2 linked regions of the Astyanax mexicanus genome follow. The main gene of each other region encodes a partner of the protein of the gene in region 2 in a complex. Links are inferred from orthologs where the notes say so. Each region holds a gene or a part of one and is shown on either strand. Other genes may lie near its edges.

What was found.
Region 1: DNA-binding protein SATB1 (region 2) and hoxb2a share a complex: the UniProt entries of both Homo sapiens proteins name them as parts of the nuclear protein complex. The link is inferred for Astyanax mexicanus from reciprocal best matches to the Homo sapiens genes SATB1 and HOXB2.

The regions. Positions count from the first base shown.
Region 1 is NC_064426.1:33,373,728-33,382,560, reverse strand, and holds hoxb2a (homeobox protein Hox-B2a), read right to left. Parts: upstream 3,459-8,833; 5' UTR 2,614-3,458; coding exon 2,157-2,613; intron 1,334-2,156; coding exon 594-1,333; 3' UTR 81-593; downstream 1-80. Other genes in the region: hoxb3a (homeobox protein Hox-B3a), read right to left, coding at 6,535-7,295, 8,048-8,537. UniProt on the Homo sapiens protein: Sequence-specific transcription factor which is part of a developmental regulatory system that provides cells with specific positional identities on the anterior-posterior axis.
Region 2 is NC_064408.1:119,013,006-119,022,034, forward strand, and holds the start of DNA-binding protein SATB1, read right to left. Parts: upstream 3,435-9,029; 5' UTR 2,942-3,434; intron 1-2,941. UniProt on the Homo sapiens protein: Crucial silencing factor contributing to the initiation of X inactivation mediated by Xist RNA that occurs during embryogenesis and in lymphoma.

The sequences.
Region 1 (8,833 bases), on a different chromosome or scaffold from region 2:
TCATAATTATAGTGACAACAAAATAACATACTGCTGCTGAAGTTCTTTCAGTTTGACCTTTGAAAATCATCCACACTGTGTTCCAGCTTATAAATGTTTTATTTTCAACTATGAAAATAATGTACAATAAATAATTTGAAATTTACTATTAAAGAATCTCAATAAATAAACTAGTTCTAAAATTCATCATTGGGGCAACGCCCGTCTCGGGAGAATTTCCTAAAAGCAGTTCAGCTAGCCTCATTTCTGACACATTTCCTGAGAATTCAATGATTGAGCTCCACTGAAAACAAGTCCCCACAACATTTATCTGCATAAGTCAGCCCCAAAACTAAAAGCGAGACAAACAAAAGACAGTAAAATACCTGAAACTGGCCATGGGTAATCCCGTGGTAGATTCGCTATAATAGGTCACCGTAATACTGTCAAAGCAATATTTTTTTCCCGCCACGGCTTCGTCTCACAACTATGCCTGCATATAACCCAGAAGGGAATTTGTCCTTCTTTTTCAGGAATGTTGTAGTCAACAAAATCATTAAACTGTGATGAGATGCATTTGGATTTGAATTGTTCTTTCTAAACGTTACAGTCAATTAGAACTGTAAATGTTGTAAATCTATGGTACAAAGAGTACTCGTAAACAGGTCAAAATCCTCTTCGGAAAAGTCTACGGGGCTGTCCAGTGAGCTTTGCAGACTCGGTGATAAAGCGTCCGAAATCTGTAGGCAGGAGTCAGTGGAAAAGAAATTCAAGTCAGCAAGTGAGTTGGTGTCCTGCGGCTCAGGGAACGCGCTGTGCTCTCGGCCTTCGCTGCCCATTGTAGCCGAAGTCTCTGCAGTGGGCGTTGGGTACGGGGGGGAGTGCATCGCTGTGTCAGGAACAGATGTGCACTTCGGCCGCATCGCCTGACCTTCCTCAGGCGTGGGCTGGCTATTGTCGGCACTGTTCGTGTAGCAGGCGGCAGGGGGGCATGATTCGCTCTCCGAAGCTGCCGCCGAACCTGAGCTGGATCCCGGACCCGACGATTCCGGGGGCTGGTTCGAGTAAGGCGAGGCGGCGTCGGTGCCGTCTAGGGGCTCAAAGCCGCTAGGTTCGCCCTCTTGGCCATCTCGGTGATGCGTCGTCTGTCGCTTGTGCTTCATGCGCCGGTTCTGAAACCACACTTTGACTTGTCGTTCGGTTAGATCCAATAGTGCTGCGATTTCCACTCTCCTGGGTCGACAGAGGTATTTATTAAAGTGGAACTCCTTCTCCAGCTCGAGCAGCTGTGTGTTGGTGTAGGCAGTCCTCAGACGCCGCGAACCACTACTATTGTCCAGCCCTCCTTGTATGTCTGCAACAAAAAAAACGATAAATTACTAAATTGCGCAAAAAGTCTATTCAAAAGCTGGTCCGCTTTTTGGATGACTGCGCGGCACTGTTTTGCAGAACCAAGTTCCCAAGCGATGGAACCGCCTTGCAGTATGTAGGCAGCAAGCCCCATATTTTGTTTTGTTCAACTGCCCTCACAGTGCATACTGACATCCAAAATGGCTACCCCAAGCCATGAGACATGGTTGTGAATATATATCATTAAGACAGCGCTGACATCAACTGCGATTAAACAGTCATTCCAGAGAAAGATTTACTATCTACATCAAAGTAACGGCAATTTTGTCTGCCAGAATGCACATCGAATATTAGCACAAAAAATATGGGGAGATGACAATAGTTATCTTATGAGTACACCTTAATCACAATGATTTTAAAAATATTAATTCAATTACTTATGTACTGTGAAATTATTTTTTAAATAACTGACAATTTGATATTAAAAGATAGTAACATAATTTGAACAATTCACAGTACTGGCACACTGTATTTCAAATTAATGTTAGGGATAAAAGGCATATCAGAAATGTTGCCAAAAATGTCCTATATAATATAGCAGCAGGGAACATTTTCGATGAGAGACCATTTGAATATAAAAGCTTGGAAAATTTCATTATTGTTCTGAATCGCTTAGAATGGACGACAGTTGATGCTTTTTGTAGCTGCACTACATGTTATTCATGAATTATTTTGATATCACCCTTATATAATTACAGAAAGCATGTGTTCAGAAACAAAACAGAAAATTACGGGGAAAATATATATATATATATTGATAAACTGACCTGTCGGGGACTCAAGTCCCGCTGTGGTATAGCCAGAGGATGCTGGAGATGGGGAGGCAGCTGCAGAGGCTGCTGCCGCTGCCGCTGCCGCTGTTCCGGGCTTGGGGCACTTCTTTGACGATTTCTTCTCCTTCATCCATGGGAACTCGTGGGCCAGAGGACAACCGCCCGATAGTGCAGCCGGGCCCTGCTGCTGCTGTTGCGTTGGCGGTGTTGCCTGCGTCCGGAGCTGGAGGCCATTGGAGGCGGTTCGCTTTTGGCTCTTCGGTCGCGCCTGGTTGCCTGTGCAAGGGCTCAGGCTGGGGATGGTGTTCTCGAAAGGAGGTGGAATTACTGTCGAGTCCTTGATTGATGAAGTTTGAAATGACTCCAGGACAGCGGGGAAAGACGTCAGGCACTCAGCAAGGGAAGGCTGGCTGTTGATGAACCCAATCTCCCTCTCAAATTCAAAATTCATCGCTTCGCCTAGTCAAGAAGGGCGATCAGCGACACCAAAACGCACAAAAATCACATCCAAAAGGCGTCGTTTTATTTTGCGCTCTCGCTATGGCTGCATTTGCGGGCTTTAATAATTGTGTATATTGGTGATATTACTAGCGTATGGGGACCTGTGTCTACTAAACTGAAGACTATGGGCGAAATTGCAGCCAATTCCTGATCACATGACTGCTATCAGCCAATCGAAATGCGGGGCCTTGTGGCAAAAAGAAAGCATTATTTTTCTGATTTGATCAAATATTCAAGATGATCATAGAATTGGGATGTAAGCGGGGGCTTACATATAAATAAAATGTACACGGTTGCCATGTGTTTATCCAGTGCTTGTCTGCGTGGGTGGTTAAGTACGGTCCTACTGAGACAATGACCATATGAATACACAGCTCGTGGTGATGTAATCCTCAGGCCTAAAGCGACTGTTAAGTGCACATCCACAATATGGCTAACTGCGCATTTTAGTGAGAGTCATTAATCTTAAAAGTTTTGACAAGAGTAACAGACAAGACATGTCTGAATATACGGCCTGTCTATGAAAATCTACATGTATTGTGTTATTAAATATAAATACATCGAGAGACTTTGAGATTCGTAGTCATTTCTGTCGGACAAGGGGGTTCCTAATTACACCTAGACGATGCGAATCCTGTATGTAGATATAATTTAATAATCATTTAAGCCTGTTCATCTACCATGAGACTCATTCGGAAAATGGATTCACGTAAGTAGCAGCTGAAGTCTTGTTTTGACTAGACTAAATTAAATAAAATTCACATACAGATATTGTATTACATGTTCTTACCAAACAATAACTATTTAATTGCTATATATATATATATATATATATATATATATATATATATATATATATATATATATATATATATATATATATATATATATATATATAGTAAAAAGGAAAATAGCACAGTTTACTATACATGCTAGTTAACCGAGTCACCTTTAGCAATATACGACATTTCCGTTGAAATACATTTATAGAGCACAGCCAATTTTTTGCAAATTTAAAGCGAATGAGATATGGGGTAGATATTCTTAGAAACTAAGTAGTAAAGGAGCAGCGGTGATCAATCTTTTCTCAGGCAATGCGCTTGACAGGAACCACCCTCAAGAATTCGCGTCTACCCTCCAGGATCACAACAAAGAAAACCCCCATTATTCCTACACATGATTAGATATTTTTCTTGTTTTTTTTGTTTTGTTTTTTTTTTGCAAAAATGCTTTATTTGCTTGGGATCTAAATCAAAAGGATTAAATCGCTGATTGAGCAAGACTAAACGTATATCATGGCACAATATGAAAGCACAAGTTGCTGTTTATATGTGCAGTTTGTTGCACAAGCTCGTCTCGTCGCTCATTTCGTTGCTGGAAGAAGCATAGGAAAGAATAAAATGTGTGTGGGAGTTTGGGTATTAGAGCATTCAAACAGAGCTGGGGGAAGTGGGCATGTGAAAAAGAGGAGGTCAATTCAAGAGGCCCATTTCTAGAATGGAGCTGGTGCGGGTTACTGGGATACATCGATCTCTCCTTCTGTCTTTTATTTTACCCAGGATAAAAGAAATGCTGATTAAGAAAAAATATTTGTAGACATTTTTTGACGAAAGGATTTACCGTGTTCTGTGGACGTTTTTTTAAAGGGTACTACCGTATCTATCTATCTATCTATCTATCTATCTATCTATCTATCTATCTATCTATCTATCTATCTATCTATCTATCTATCTATCTATCTATCTATCTATCTATCTATCTATCTATCGATTTTACTTATTACTATTTGTTTTATTACTGTTGGTTACAAAATATATGAGGGATATTACATTTATTAAGATATGAAAATGTAGTTATTTGATACGTGAATTGTCCCTGCTTGCTTTACTTATTTTGTTTTGGCTTTAGTCATTGTAATCCTGGTCTGTTTACCTTTGTATGTTTTAATGAAGCTGTCGAAAATTAATTAAAAAAAAAATACTCAGCGAACCTTCGTTTTGTTTGTATTTTGCAAGAACAGATAAATGCCACTTATATGCGCTCACTGCAAATGATATATTTATAAGACAATGTGATTCAAAATATTTCATTCAATTTGATACTATTAGAATAGTTGGGTGTTTTGTAAGTGATAATGTTTATTTTAATTGAATAAATTATGATTAATGTTGTTTAAACCCTACGACAAAAAATATTGAATAAACAAAATCTTCTTTGTTTTATCTTTTAATGTACTGTTTTTTATGTTAACTTTTTAAAGGGGCTTTTGATTTACAGAGGGAACTCAGAGAGTAGACCTGGGTTAACCTCACCTCACGTGACCAGTGCTTTGCGTGCTGCCTTGAGGGCAGTTCTTGAGAAGCCATGAGGACAGATGTACCACGTGTGTGTGTTGTGTGAAAAGTTGAAGCGACGTAGGACAAGAATGGAAATGAATAACATAACATTTATTAAAGAATTGTTCAACAGCCAACTGTTAACAAGAAAATCAAAGTAGCTACAAAGAACAAATAAAGATTCCAAAAGAAATGTTCGCTATAATGTCTATTTTCCGACTAAGCAGGAACGGTTCGAGTCCGCTCTCACGTACCCTGTACAAGTCAAATCATTGCTTATGTACAAAGGTAACAAAAACCTACGTTTCTCTAAAATACAGAAACTAAAATTAGTTACAATGACAAGAACACAATGTCTGCTTTTTATAACAGGTAAATACTAAAAAAGTACACTTTCTCGATATAAATACATGGGGGATAAATAATACAAAAAAGAAAGTATTTAAACTGGCTATAACAAATAAATATATATTTATGAATGTTCATTTGAACACACATACTGAAAGACGCTGATTGAAGGTCTTTCGCTTCAAAATAAGATTTACTTTTTCCCATACCCATCAAAATGTAAACTCTAAGTGCAACAACGATGCCCAGAGAAGAAAGCAATCGGCGTAAACCGAAACGTCTACACCACTGCCTGGTTTCTCGGACATGCATTTTGTTCAATTATACCCTGTTTCCACGTTAAGTCAAGACATGAGAAAGTGTGGGCCTTCCGCATTAGTGTGGGCTAATGTAAGCAAACCCAGAGAGAGAGAGGGGGGAGGGGGCGCAGGAGAGCAAGAGTAGGAGGGCGAAGGAGGGGCTTAATCAGTTAAAAAATGTAGGGATGGCCATGAACGCCCACTGATCTTTTTTTTTTTTACTCTTTTTTTTTGTTATACCCTGTACCAACGTCAAAGCAATTATTTAATTCTAGCCAGTTTACGAGAGAATGCCCAGGTAGCATAGATTGAAAACGTTCCTCAACTTATCAAAGTGAAAAAACAAGTATGGACTTCTACCATGTCTTGCCAAAGACACTGCACACATTTTGTTTTTGTTTTTTTCAGGCTGACAAGTTTAAATAAGACAGAAAAAAAGCAAATGTTTAATGAGCTGTTTAAAAAAGAGGTATGTAAAAGAAGGGAACTGAATGAAAAACAGTCCAGTGGTTTCCTAATGCCAGTTTCAGAAATACAATAACATTCCACACTTAAGCAGTCCTAAGTTTGGAGAACTCTGTGATGTATGGCACAAATGCTCATGATGACCTAAACAAGGGCCTCACTGGTTCATACAGTAAAATAATCTATTTCTTGGCATAAACTAGCCATATTTAACCAACCTTTTTCTTTAAAAGGGCCTTTACGGGTTCTATGTAGTGGATTCCTCTGAATTAACAATTGTGCTCACAGGTGAATAAAGGACAATACTGACACCAACTGCAGTTCTAGAGATGGCAAGAAACCACTGGATCATGTTTTTCAACCCCATTGCATCATCCCATGGGTTTTTGTTTCTATTTTTCCTTTTTGTTTTGTCCAAACCTGCTACAGATGAGTCAACTTGGGTGCTTCTTGAATTCTACCCTGAGAAGAATGGTGCGCTGACAGATCCGTGTATGTCGGGTGTGTATCGCACGGTCCATGATGTTGGTTGGCTGACATCTGTGTGGCACCATTGTAGTCCATGCTGGCAGACTGGTGGTGTGGTAAGTGATTGAGACCATACATGGATGGCCCAGTGGCAGGCATGGCATCCACATAATTACCTCCCACATAAACAGGACTACCCTGCATGTTAGGCGTCCCGTAATTGCCACTGTTACCCTGTAGAACGTGTGGGTCATATTCCGATGCTGTGCTACCGTACTTCTGTTGTGATGGGCATCCTTTCATGGGATTTTGATAAGCTGTTGACATGGCATAAGCATTTTGATGAGGCTTGTTAAAAGATGGTGGTGACGGTGCATCATAGCTGCCCATAGAGTGCATGGAGTTCATAAAACCAGCAGAGGACTGCATTGAGAGGGGAGGGCTTCCAGTGGGAGATGGCCCTCCTGAGGAGGAACCCATACCTTTCGATTTCTGATCCTTCTTGTACTTCATGCGTCGATTCTGGAACCAGATCTTGATCTGCCTTTCACTAAGGTTGAGAAGATTGGCCATCTCCACACGTCGAGGCCTGCACAAGTACCGATTGAAATGGAACTCCTTCTCAAGCTCCACAAGCTGAGCACTCGTGTAGGCTGTGCGTGCTCTCTTGGAAGCCGCAGAACCCGGAGGGCTTTTCTCACCACCACTGCTCTCCGCTGGGGTGGGAATGAAATAAAACATAATTACTACATGCAGCAATTGAATGCGTCATTCCCCTTAATAAAGCTGGTCACATAAAGAAAAGCTTACCCCTGCCCCCACCTTTGATATTGGTTGTCAACATATCATAACTGGCACTTATTAAGAGGTGTATGCCCTAACATTGACCGGGTATATGTAAATTGTATTAAGACCAATGCCCACGGCCACAATCGTCCTGTGCAACATGCAATTATATTTGCTCTCTATTCACTGACTATCATTAAATAACTTAGCTGCCCTGTGAACCAGTCTTAGTAAACAAGTGTATGTTTATCAAAAAGGCTCTATATGATATTGAATCAAATATTGATTAAATGTTTTCCATCATATGTGTGTGTACTGAAGAGTCCATATGATGGAATGCATTTACTTCAATATTATGTAGAGCCTTTCAAAATCATATGAACCATTAAGGAACCAAGTTTCAGGTAACAGATAGTCCACTTAACCAATATAACACTTAACTGTTGGTTTTACTGCAGTTATTCTAAACATTTTTATGATCCTTTTGTCCACACCCACAATGCAAAAATTATTATTGCTACTGCTTGAACATTGTAAGCAATTTAGCAACAGTTTCTGTTTCTGTTTTAATCCTAGTTCAGGGTATGGCTAAAACATGTCTTCGAGGGAAACAAAATCAGGTGGGGTTGTAATTGGGAAGGGGTGGGTGATCATTGATGGGTAGGGAGGGGTTGGCACACACCGTTAGCTGAGCTTGCGCTGGGGGAGCTGTTTTTTTGCTTGGTGTTCTGACGCGACTCTTTCATCCAGGGGAAGATCTGCTTGCTGATGGTCGGATTCGGGGCAAGCGTAGATGACTTTGATGAGGATTTGGTCGTGTTTCCACTGCCAGCCCCACCACTGCTGCTGCCACCTTGCTGCTGGGGGGCGCTAGATCCAGTTGGATTCACAGGGTTTTGAGGAGGGGAGACTTGGGGCGGTGGGTGGTGCTCAGGTGGCAGACTAGGCCGCATACAGCTGCCGTTGAGCTCTTTCGTCTTGGCATGCTGCGACTGTGTGGGTGCGCTGGTGCCGAGGGACTGCAGAGAGCAGGCAGACCTCTGGTAATCACCCTCGAGGTGCGCCGAGCTCTGGAAGGCGGCTGGCTGGGACTCATAGCCGAAACCATTGGCCCCCTGGTACGAGTAACCTCCGAATAGTGTCGAGTTGTCGTAGTAGGTCGTTTTCTGCATTTCCAAAAGTCGCGTTACCGGCTACCAGGGTCCTGACGACCTTCTGGAAGAACATTGGCACCAGATGTCACGTGACGATCTTTTTCCAACGGCCTCTTGGAAGCTGACCTGAAAGGTTATAAGAGGCACATAATAAGAGCGGCGCGAGGTAAATCCATCTTACTGCGCTGAAAGGCACCATGACATGAATAGCACGTTCCCACAACGCGGCTTGCAGATGCTATGTCAGGAAACGGTGCATTTTTTCTCTGTTTCGTACACACAATAAACAACTGCTGAAGTATTAAAACTGCCAT
Region 2 (9,029 bases):
AACCCTTTCAGACTGTGCATGCATTACAATGGACATCATGTATTTTCTTATATTTTTCAAACGTTTTGTTGCCTGTAACACTAACTGAGACACTAATTGTTTTTAAATCAGAATAGACTTAAAAGTTTATAAGCCAATGAAACAATAGCTCAGCCTTGATCACTGCACTGGAGAAAAAAAAAAAAAAACAGCACTAGAGCCAAAATTAAATAAACTAAAAGACCTCATTTAGAACACATTTTTTTCATGTTTGTTTATTTTAGTGTTTATTTTAAGGATGGCTTGTGAACAAAAAGGTCAATATCAAATCTAACATAAAATGTTAAGCACAGGCTTTCAATCCAATAGACATAAACCAAAAAAACAGTTACTTTATTGTAGTTAATTGGATTTCATTTAATGTTAATACAGATTTTATCTTATAATATATATAAAGAGTGTTCCTTTGTGCTATCATAAACTTTTCTGGGTGATTTGTGCTTTTTTATTTCGTTTTATTAGCTAAATAGATACGATGCACAAATGCTTATCTTGCACATCTGGAAGACATTTACTCAGGACACACAGGTTTGGTCCCTTATTCAGCTTATGATACTCAGGACAGGTATATATATAAAGCAAATACATAAAGACATAGAGATGTTTGCAAAAAAAAAATGCGGAAATGAAAATGAAACTAAACTAAAGAGACTTTTGTTTAGTTAGAGATTTAATGCATTTTTTTTTGTTATTATTATTATTATTATTATTATTATTATTATTATTATTATTATTAGATATGGCTTTTCTCACGCATTCTGACAAGTTAAAGTGTGATTAACTCATACAGCTGCACTGCTTGTACTATTAAACATCTAAAAATGGATTAGTGCTTATGATAAATTGATGAAAAAAACTGCATTATACTGCTTAAAAAAATCTGAAAATGTATATAAATAAATATACACACATATATAAATATAAATATTCTAATAACTATTAACTATCTTTAATTACGAGATGTTTGGATTTGTTTTGAGTTTGCTGCTTTACCTACCAATTATTGTCCTGATTACTTTTATCAGTATAAGCTATTGATTTTGACGAGTTTTAAATGAATAAACAATGAAATAAAACAGGATTTTTGGCCCTTTGAATCTTATTTGCATTACGTTGCTTACAATTCATACCCTTGCAGTGACTCTCCCCTTTAATTCTATTAGTATAAACTGATATTGATGATAGAGAAGTTGTGCTTATAATATTAAGATCAAAATGCAATAAAACAAGACTAAAAGCTAAATTAAAAAGCATGACTACATAATAGCAATATGTTCTACTACTAACAGTTAATTTTACTTAATAAAAATAACTTTTAAGGCTTAGTTTGTGTTGCACTAAGTTAGGAGCATCACTTTGCATGGATGTATGGTACTCTTGACTTCTATCAGTGTGACACAAAAATCTTGAGCTGAAAAATCTTGAGTTAAATAGCAGCAGAACAGCATGAGGCATTAATTCTTGAAGTGCTTATAAAAGAGAAGTGTTTAAGAATTGAGTGCACACCTTTTTTCCTGGCCTTATCTATTCTTTATCAGGCGATTGATGAAAGAGGACAGCAAAGGGATGTGACAGTGAGGGATGGAGGCTCGTCAATAATGGAGAGAGCTTGTTTTGGGAGCAGGTGGTGTTTTCTTTCTGCCTTAGTTAACGTTAGATAGATGTGTGAAGGGGGGGGCTTCAGTCACTAACTAATTAACTGCCAGCTAATTCATTCACTTAGCTAGTTAACTAAGTAAGTGTGAAGATGTTTAACTAGCTGTTTAACCGGTTTGTAGTAAAACGCAGCTCAGATTAAAACCAAGCTAGCCTACACCTGTATAAGTCCAAGTAGACGTTAGATGTTGATGACAACTGAAGTTAACGTTAAAACTCAATGCGATGCAATGCCAGCCACTCACTTCGTGTTTTGTGTTGTTCTTCTTCAGTTTACCTCTCTTTTCTATCATAAAACCATATCATAAAATAACTTTTATCAATAATATTAGACGTTAGACGTTATCAGCAACAGACGTTAACGCTCAATTTTGTTGAATTAACGATATATATATATATTTTTTTTTCTTCTCCAATGCTCTGAAACAGCGTTTATGTCCGATGTCAGAGTTTAATTGTTTGTAAACACTGACTGATTGACTGATACGTAGATTTAATATGGGTTTAACGTTTATACGTTTTATATGTGTTGCATGTATTAAACTTAAATATGTGCAAACATACAGTGTAGAAAGTTCAATTTTAATAATATTGACAACCATTACTATTATTATACTTATTATAATTTATATTATTTGTCGCAAGCACCTTTCTCATAAAAAACAAAAGCATAAACGTTTAATCAATGTAAGAATTTCAGCACGAACTGATGCATATGAGGCAGTTTCAAGTAACCTGCACGTTTTTTAATGTTTTAAATGTTTTACCAATAACAACTTAAAACTTCAGAAATTGAGTTTAAACGCAACCAAAGAGCAAAGTGCAACGTCAACTCAATATTCATTTCACCTTACACGTGCAAGTTAATGCTTAACTTGTGATTTTCAAAGCCTTAAAATAAACGTTGAATCAAAGTCATAATTTCAACTGATTAACTGACGCCTATGAAGCAAGCAGTTTTAAGTAACCCATTTAAACGTTGTTTAAATGTTAAACGTTTTTCCATCAGCATCTTAAAAACTCAACTACTTAACTGTAGTTAGGTTAAACGCAACCAAAGAGCAACGTCTATTCGATATTCTTTTTTTTACCGTACACCTGTAAGTTAATGAACGTTTAAAGTCCAGGCATCGTTTAACGATACCTTAGACGTTAGACGTTACCTGTAACAGAGGTAAACGCAAAAAAAGAAAAAAAACTTAACGTAAGCTTAACTAATGCTTCAACTAGACGTTTAGCCACTCACCTTTCGTTTTGCGTTGTTCTTTCTCGTTTTTCGCAGCTTTTTTCTCTTCTTTTCCCATCCAAAGCTGACCGGCTTCGTCTCGCCTCGCTTCCCACCTTGACAGCTTCGGAAAAGGCGAGAAAACTCCTCAAAATTAACTAAATTAACCAAAATAAATGAAAATATAGCCGCAGAATCGCGAGGAGTCCGTTAGAAAGCGACCGTTACTGGACGCCAACGGTCACTCGCGCGCGCTCAGTTCAAATTCAGTTCGAGCTCAGTTCAAAATCAGCAAAGTTCGGAGGCGCGCGGCGAGGCAGCGCGAGAAATGCGGGCAGCGCGGGACCTGTGGTCCGGGATAGAGCTGCCTGCGGGAGTGGGAGGGGGTGTTAGGGGACTGGAGGGGGGCGGAGGGGCAAGAAGAGGGGTGGGATGCGGGGGCAGGTATGAAAAAATGAACCGCCCCGTCTCCGCCTCGTGCCAGCTCTATCGCTCTCTCTCTCCTTCTCTCTCTAGACCTCACGCGTCTGCTCTCGCGCGTGCCCCACTTTGATCTATCTCGCTCGTGCTGCGCTATACTACTCTCTCCGGTGGTGTGATGTTGTTGTTGATTTCTTTCCCCACCCGTTTTCCACACAAAGCCCCGCCCACCTGTTCCGCGATTGGTCAGGAGTTTGTTCTCTCTGTTTTGTTTTGTTTTTTTAGAAAGAAAAACCAGGATGATTGACTAATTAATCAATCATAGCAATAACAGGGGCGGGGCTTACCTGATAGATAGATAGATAGATAGATAGATAGATAGATAGATAGATAGATAGATAGATAGATAGATAGATAGATAGATAGATTTATCTATGTAAGAAAGCACAGTAAAGAATATAAGACTATAAAAGATGCTAACTGAGAACAGCATGAAAATTAACTATACCTCATAAGATATAACTAAAAATAAATTTTTTTTTTTTTTTTTGATAAAAAAGTCCAGGATGATTGACTAATTAGTCAATCATTGCAATAGAGGGGCGTGGCTTACCTGAACATCGGGTGGAACAGATAGATAGATAGATAGATAGATAGATAGATAGATAGATAGATAGATAGATAGATAGATAGATAGATAGATAGATAGACAACAATCGTACAGTAAGATAGCACAATAAGGAATATAAGAATATAAGTAAAATGCAAATATATCTGAGTCTCTGCACAAATGATCTTCTGGTGCAGGTGTGATGGATCACAGTATAAACCAATAGGGAGTCGGAATGGTATATGTTTATACTTCTCTACATCCAGTCACAATCAGATTCACTCTATCTGGATGGAGAGATTTATCTGGATAGGGGTTTTATTGAAGGATGAGAAGCCGGAATGAAAACCAACTGAAATGAAATAGGAGTAACGAGAACAAAAAAGTTGTCTTAAAATATTTGTATTTTATTACTTCTCTACGATATATATCACAATTCAGGGCTTACGATGCCCCCAATGGATTAAATGTGATGTAATCCATCACAATTGGATAAACTGTATTTGATGGTACAATACAAGGAACATTGCTGCAAATTATGGCACATTCTAAAACTTGCATATATTTATCTTTTTCAGTGTTAGCCACGCCCCTCTACAATATATTACATCATATCATATATCTTCACAGCAATATTACACAGTTTTCAGCAGACATGATAGATAAGGAACTTTTGGACGAGAACATCAGAATACATGTGGGGAAACAAACCCGCGGGAAAACCGCACGCTTCAAGGAAAAGGGGCGTGGCCAAGAGGGCACACATTCACACCAAATCTTGCGTGATGAGTTTAACTCGGTTTAAATATTTAAATATTTAAATCCACTGCGCTGTCACTGACTTTCAGTGCAAAAATGCTGATTATTTCACGCAGTTACACAGTGCACAGGTGAGTGAGTGCAGATGTGAGCTTCAGCAGGTGTGTGTGTGTGTGTGTGTGTTATAACACCGTTGTGCTCCTACTGAACCAGAAACTGCTCATTTCTCAGCAGAGCAGAAAACCTACTACGAACAGGAAAGCAACGAGCAAATTAAAGCTGTAGCTTATTTTTCTAAAAGGGTCATTTTACTGACAAACTTTGTTATTATTTGGTTTAAAAATATTACAGTAAAATTTAAGTATTGTTTAAGATGCAATGAATAATTACTGAAGGGTTTGAGGTGGAGTTTTTATCATTTGTATTATATTTTATTTCATTTTTTATTTTATATATAGTATATATATATATATATATATATATATATATATATATATATATATATATATATATACAGACAACATTTCTTCCAAATTGTCATTTAGAGCATTTATTTGCAGAAAATAAGAAATGACTGAAATAAACAAAATAAAAAGATGCAGAACTTTCAGACCTCAAATAATGCAAAGAAACCAAATTCATATTCATACAATTTTAAGAGTTCAGAAATCAATATTTGGTGGAATAACCCTGGTTTTTAATCAAAGTTTTTATGCATCTTGGCATCATGTTCTCCTCCACCAGTCTTACACACTGCTTTTGGAAAAAAAAGCAAGTTCAGCTTGGTTTGATGACTCTGGAATACAATCTTCCCCCTGTATTCCAGAGGTTTTCAGTTTGGTAAAATCACAGAAACTCATCCTTTGTAAGTGGCTTTATATAGAGCAGAGAAAGAAAGAGGTAGTATTAAATATAAAAAGCACATTATATATTATTCTTTTTCATTTTCCTTTATCCTTTCTTTCTTACTTTTTAAAAATATTATTTATTTTTTAACTTTTGCTTATCTTGGTTATTTACTTATTAATAAATGCTCCGGTTCATTTATTTATTCATTTTTTGCAGTATGTGGCATTGTTTATTAATGTATTAATGTATTTGTCCATGAATATATCATTTATTTATTTATTTATTTATTTATTTATTCATTGAATTGAATGATTTATTTACGTACTTACTTGCTTATTCATTCATCAATTCATTTACTTGTGTAATTTATTCAGCTCCATATTTACTTATTTCGCATATATATAAATATATCATCATGCATTCATTTACCACCTATTTCTATAAATAGCATTTATTTATTTGTTTGTTTATTTGTTTGTTTGTTTGATCTCTATTTATATTTATTCACTTCAACAATTGCTTCCTCTTTACTGATGTGTTTATTTCCTTTATTTATTGCGGATAAATGCTGTGAGCTCGGAATGAAGCCTTTTCAGAAGTTGCAGTCCCCCTTCTCTCTCTCCCACACACACACACACACCTGTTGGTCAGCTCTCTAGGTTTCCGCTGCTTGTCTCCGTGCCGCAGTGAAGGGAACAAAAAACAAAACCCTCAACCCTCAAAAGCCCCCTCCTCACCATCCTCACCCCAGTTTCCCACTCACTCACCCCCACACCGACCCCCCGACCCACTGCTGCTGTGTAGGCTGAGCTTCATCCTGTGGAAACAGGGTGAGGTGGAGGTGCAGAGCGTCCAGCAGCAGCAGAAGCAGCAGCAGCAGAAACTGGGTCACTCTCACACCACTGCGAGGAGCATCTGTCCAAAACACACTTCAGCAGCAGCATCATACCTCACACCTCACACCTCTACATAACCTGAGAGTCCACTAATCAACCTCTCCTTCTCTCATTCTCCGTATTATAATGCAATATATTATTTTTATATAATTCATTGTAGATTTATTGTAAAGGGTGCATTCACTGCAAGTGTGTGAATTAAGCATAATTGCAATTGTTGCAAGTAGTAAAAAGTAGCAATAGTATATATTATATACTCGATATACAGCATATTTGCATTTTGTTTTTTGCAGTATATTGATATATTTAGTAAATGTTATTTATAACTTATCATCAGCATTGGTTCTTATCATCAGCTGACAAATGGATATATACTGTTATATATGTTCTAATTCATATAACTAATAAATTGACTCATTTTGAGTTACATTACCTCCCCCACTTTTTACCCATGCTCTAAACTCATACACCTGCCATGAAGCAGTAAAACATTTACTCAATATATCAATATACTGCACAATCCAAAATGCAAATATGGTGTATATAGAGTTTATAATATATACTATTTACTATTACTGCTTTTTACTATTTGCAAAAATTGCATATATGCTTAATTCACACACTTGCAGTGAATGCACCCTTTATTTCTATCAGCAATAAATCATATCAAAATAATGCAAAGCATAATAATAAAATGCATATATTGTACAAATTTATATATATATATATATATATCATTGCTGTCCATAAAAAAACAAGTATCTCCATTTTTGTCAGTTTTTAGTTTACTACATAATTTGAACAGACAAACTGTCCCTTAAACTGTGCCAAAATCTATTGATAAATGGACCAATAGAAATACTTTAAAATGACCTGAAATAAACTCTTTTTTTACATTGACTACCATTGAAAGTTTAAAGAGTTTTTTTATCTGTTCTGTAAAGTTGCTGTTTTGGAGATAATTGTTTTTCATTGGACAGTGACAATATATTATTTGTGCTATTTATTACATATTTTGACACTTTACTGCACCCTTTACTTCTATATATACATTTTTTTTCTTTGCACCAGGAGTGGCATAAAGTTATCCAAAAGCAGTGTGTAAGACTGGTGGAGGAGAACATGCATTAAAAACTAGGGTTATTCCACAAAATATTGATTTCTGAACTCTAAAACTCTAAAAGTTCAGAAATATGAACTGAACTGAACTGAAATGAATATGAACTTGTTTTCGCTCTGCATCTTTTTGGTTATTTCAGCCATTTCTCAATTTCTGCAAATAAACACTTTAAATGACGATATTTTTATTTGGAATTTGGGAGAAGCATTGTCTGTAGTTTATAGAATAAAACTACAAGGTTCATTTTACTCAAACATAAACCTACAACAATTAAATACTACTACAAAGTCTTAATTATGGGACATTTTGCCCATTTTAAGGTGCAAAAATTATGTACAACTTGCATTTGTGCTTGATTTGCACCCTGCATTTCTATCAGTATGGTATCATATATCATGCATATTATATATATATATATATATATATATATATATATATATATATATATATATATATATATATATATATATATATATATATATATATATATATATTGTACACATATCTTACACAGTATTACAAATATATACCATTACTAATGTTTACTACTAGACATTTTTAATTATGGATTTCTAAGATCTAATCTTGCAATGATTCATACACTTGCAATCATTGCACCATTTTACTTGTATACTTTTGAAATGCAAAATAGATGTAAAGATGTAAAACAAATAATGTACTTAATGCTTAAAAAAGTATACTAAATGTACACGTACTTTTTTTTTGCACAGCTTTCACTAATGACCCAATTTCTCTCTTATTATCTCACGCTTTTTTTTTTTTTAACTCAGTCGTTGCTCCTTATCGTCAGGTTGGAGCCGTTTCTCAGAAGAGCGCACACAGCCGTGGTTTTGGGACTCCACAAAAGCCATGTTAAACTTTTATCTGTCACTGTTACACCTCTGCCCTTTTCTCTCGTTCCCCGTATGAATCACTGCCCTGCGTTGATTTCAGTTGGTGTGATCTGAGGAGAGCAGCAGTGAGAGGGGGGAAAGCTGCAGACCGCACTGTACATTAAAGCAGCCGGGGCTGAATTCTGTGTGGTTTTTTAACATTTCTACAGATTTTACATTAAGAAATCAAATCAGCACACACTCTGAATGAGCTGAGGGGTTGTGTGGTGCCTTCTGTGTCCACAAGAGGGGGCTTTAGAGTGAAGCTCAGCTCAGAGGAAACGGTCAGGCTCAGAGAAGGGCCAATCTGGGGGGATAAACGTTAGCCGTTAGCGTAATTAGCTTGGTGCCTTACTCACAGAAGGCCCCAGAAATTCAGGGGGACCAGGAGGTTAAAGAGCACTGTGGATAAGAGATTGTGATTGGCTGTAGATAATTCTACCAAAATTATTTGTTAAAAAGGTCATAATTATTATTATAAGAACTCACAATCAAGAGTTTTCTACATAGTTCACCACAAAAAGCTCCATCCATTATTAAGATAGTCTAGAAAAGTCCAAAC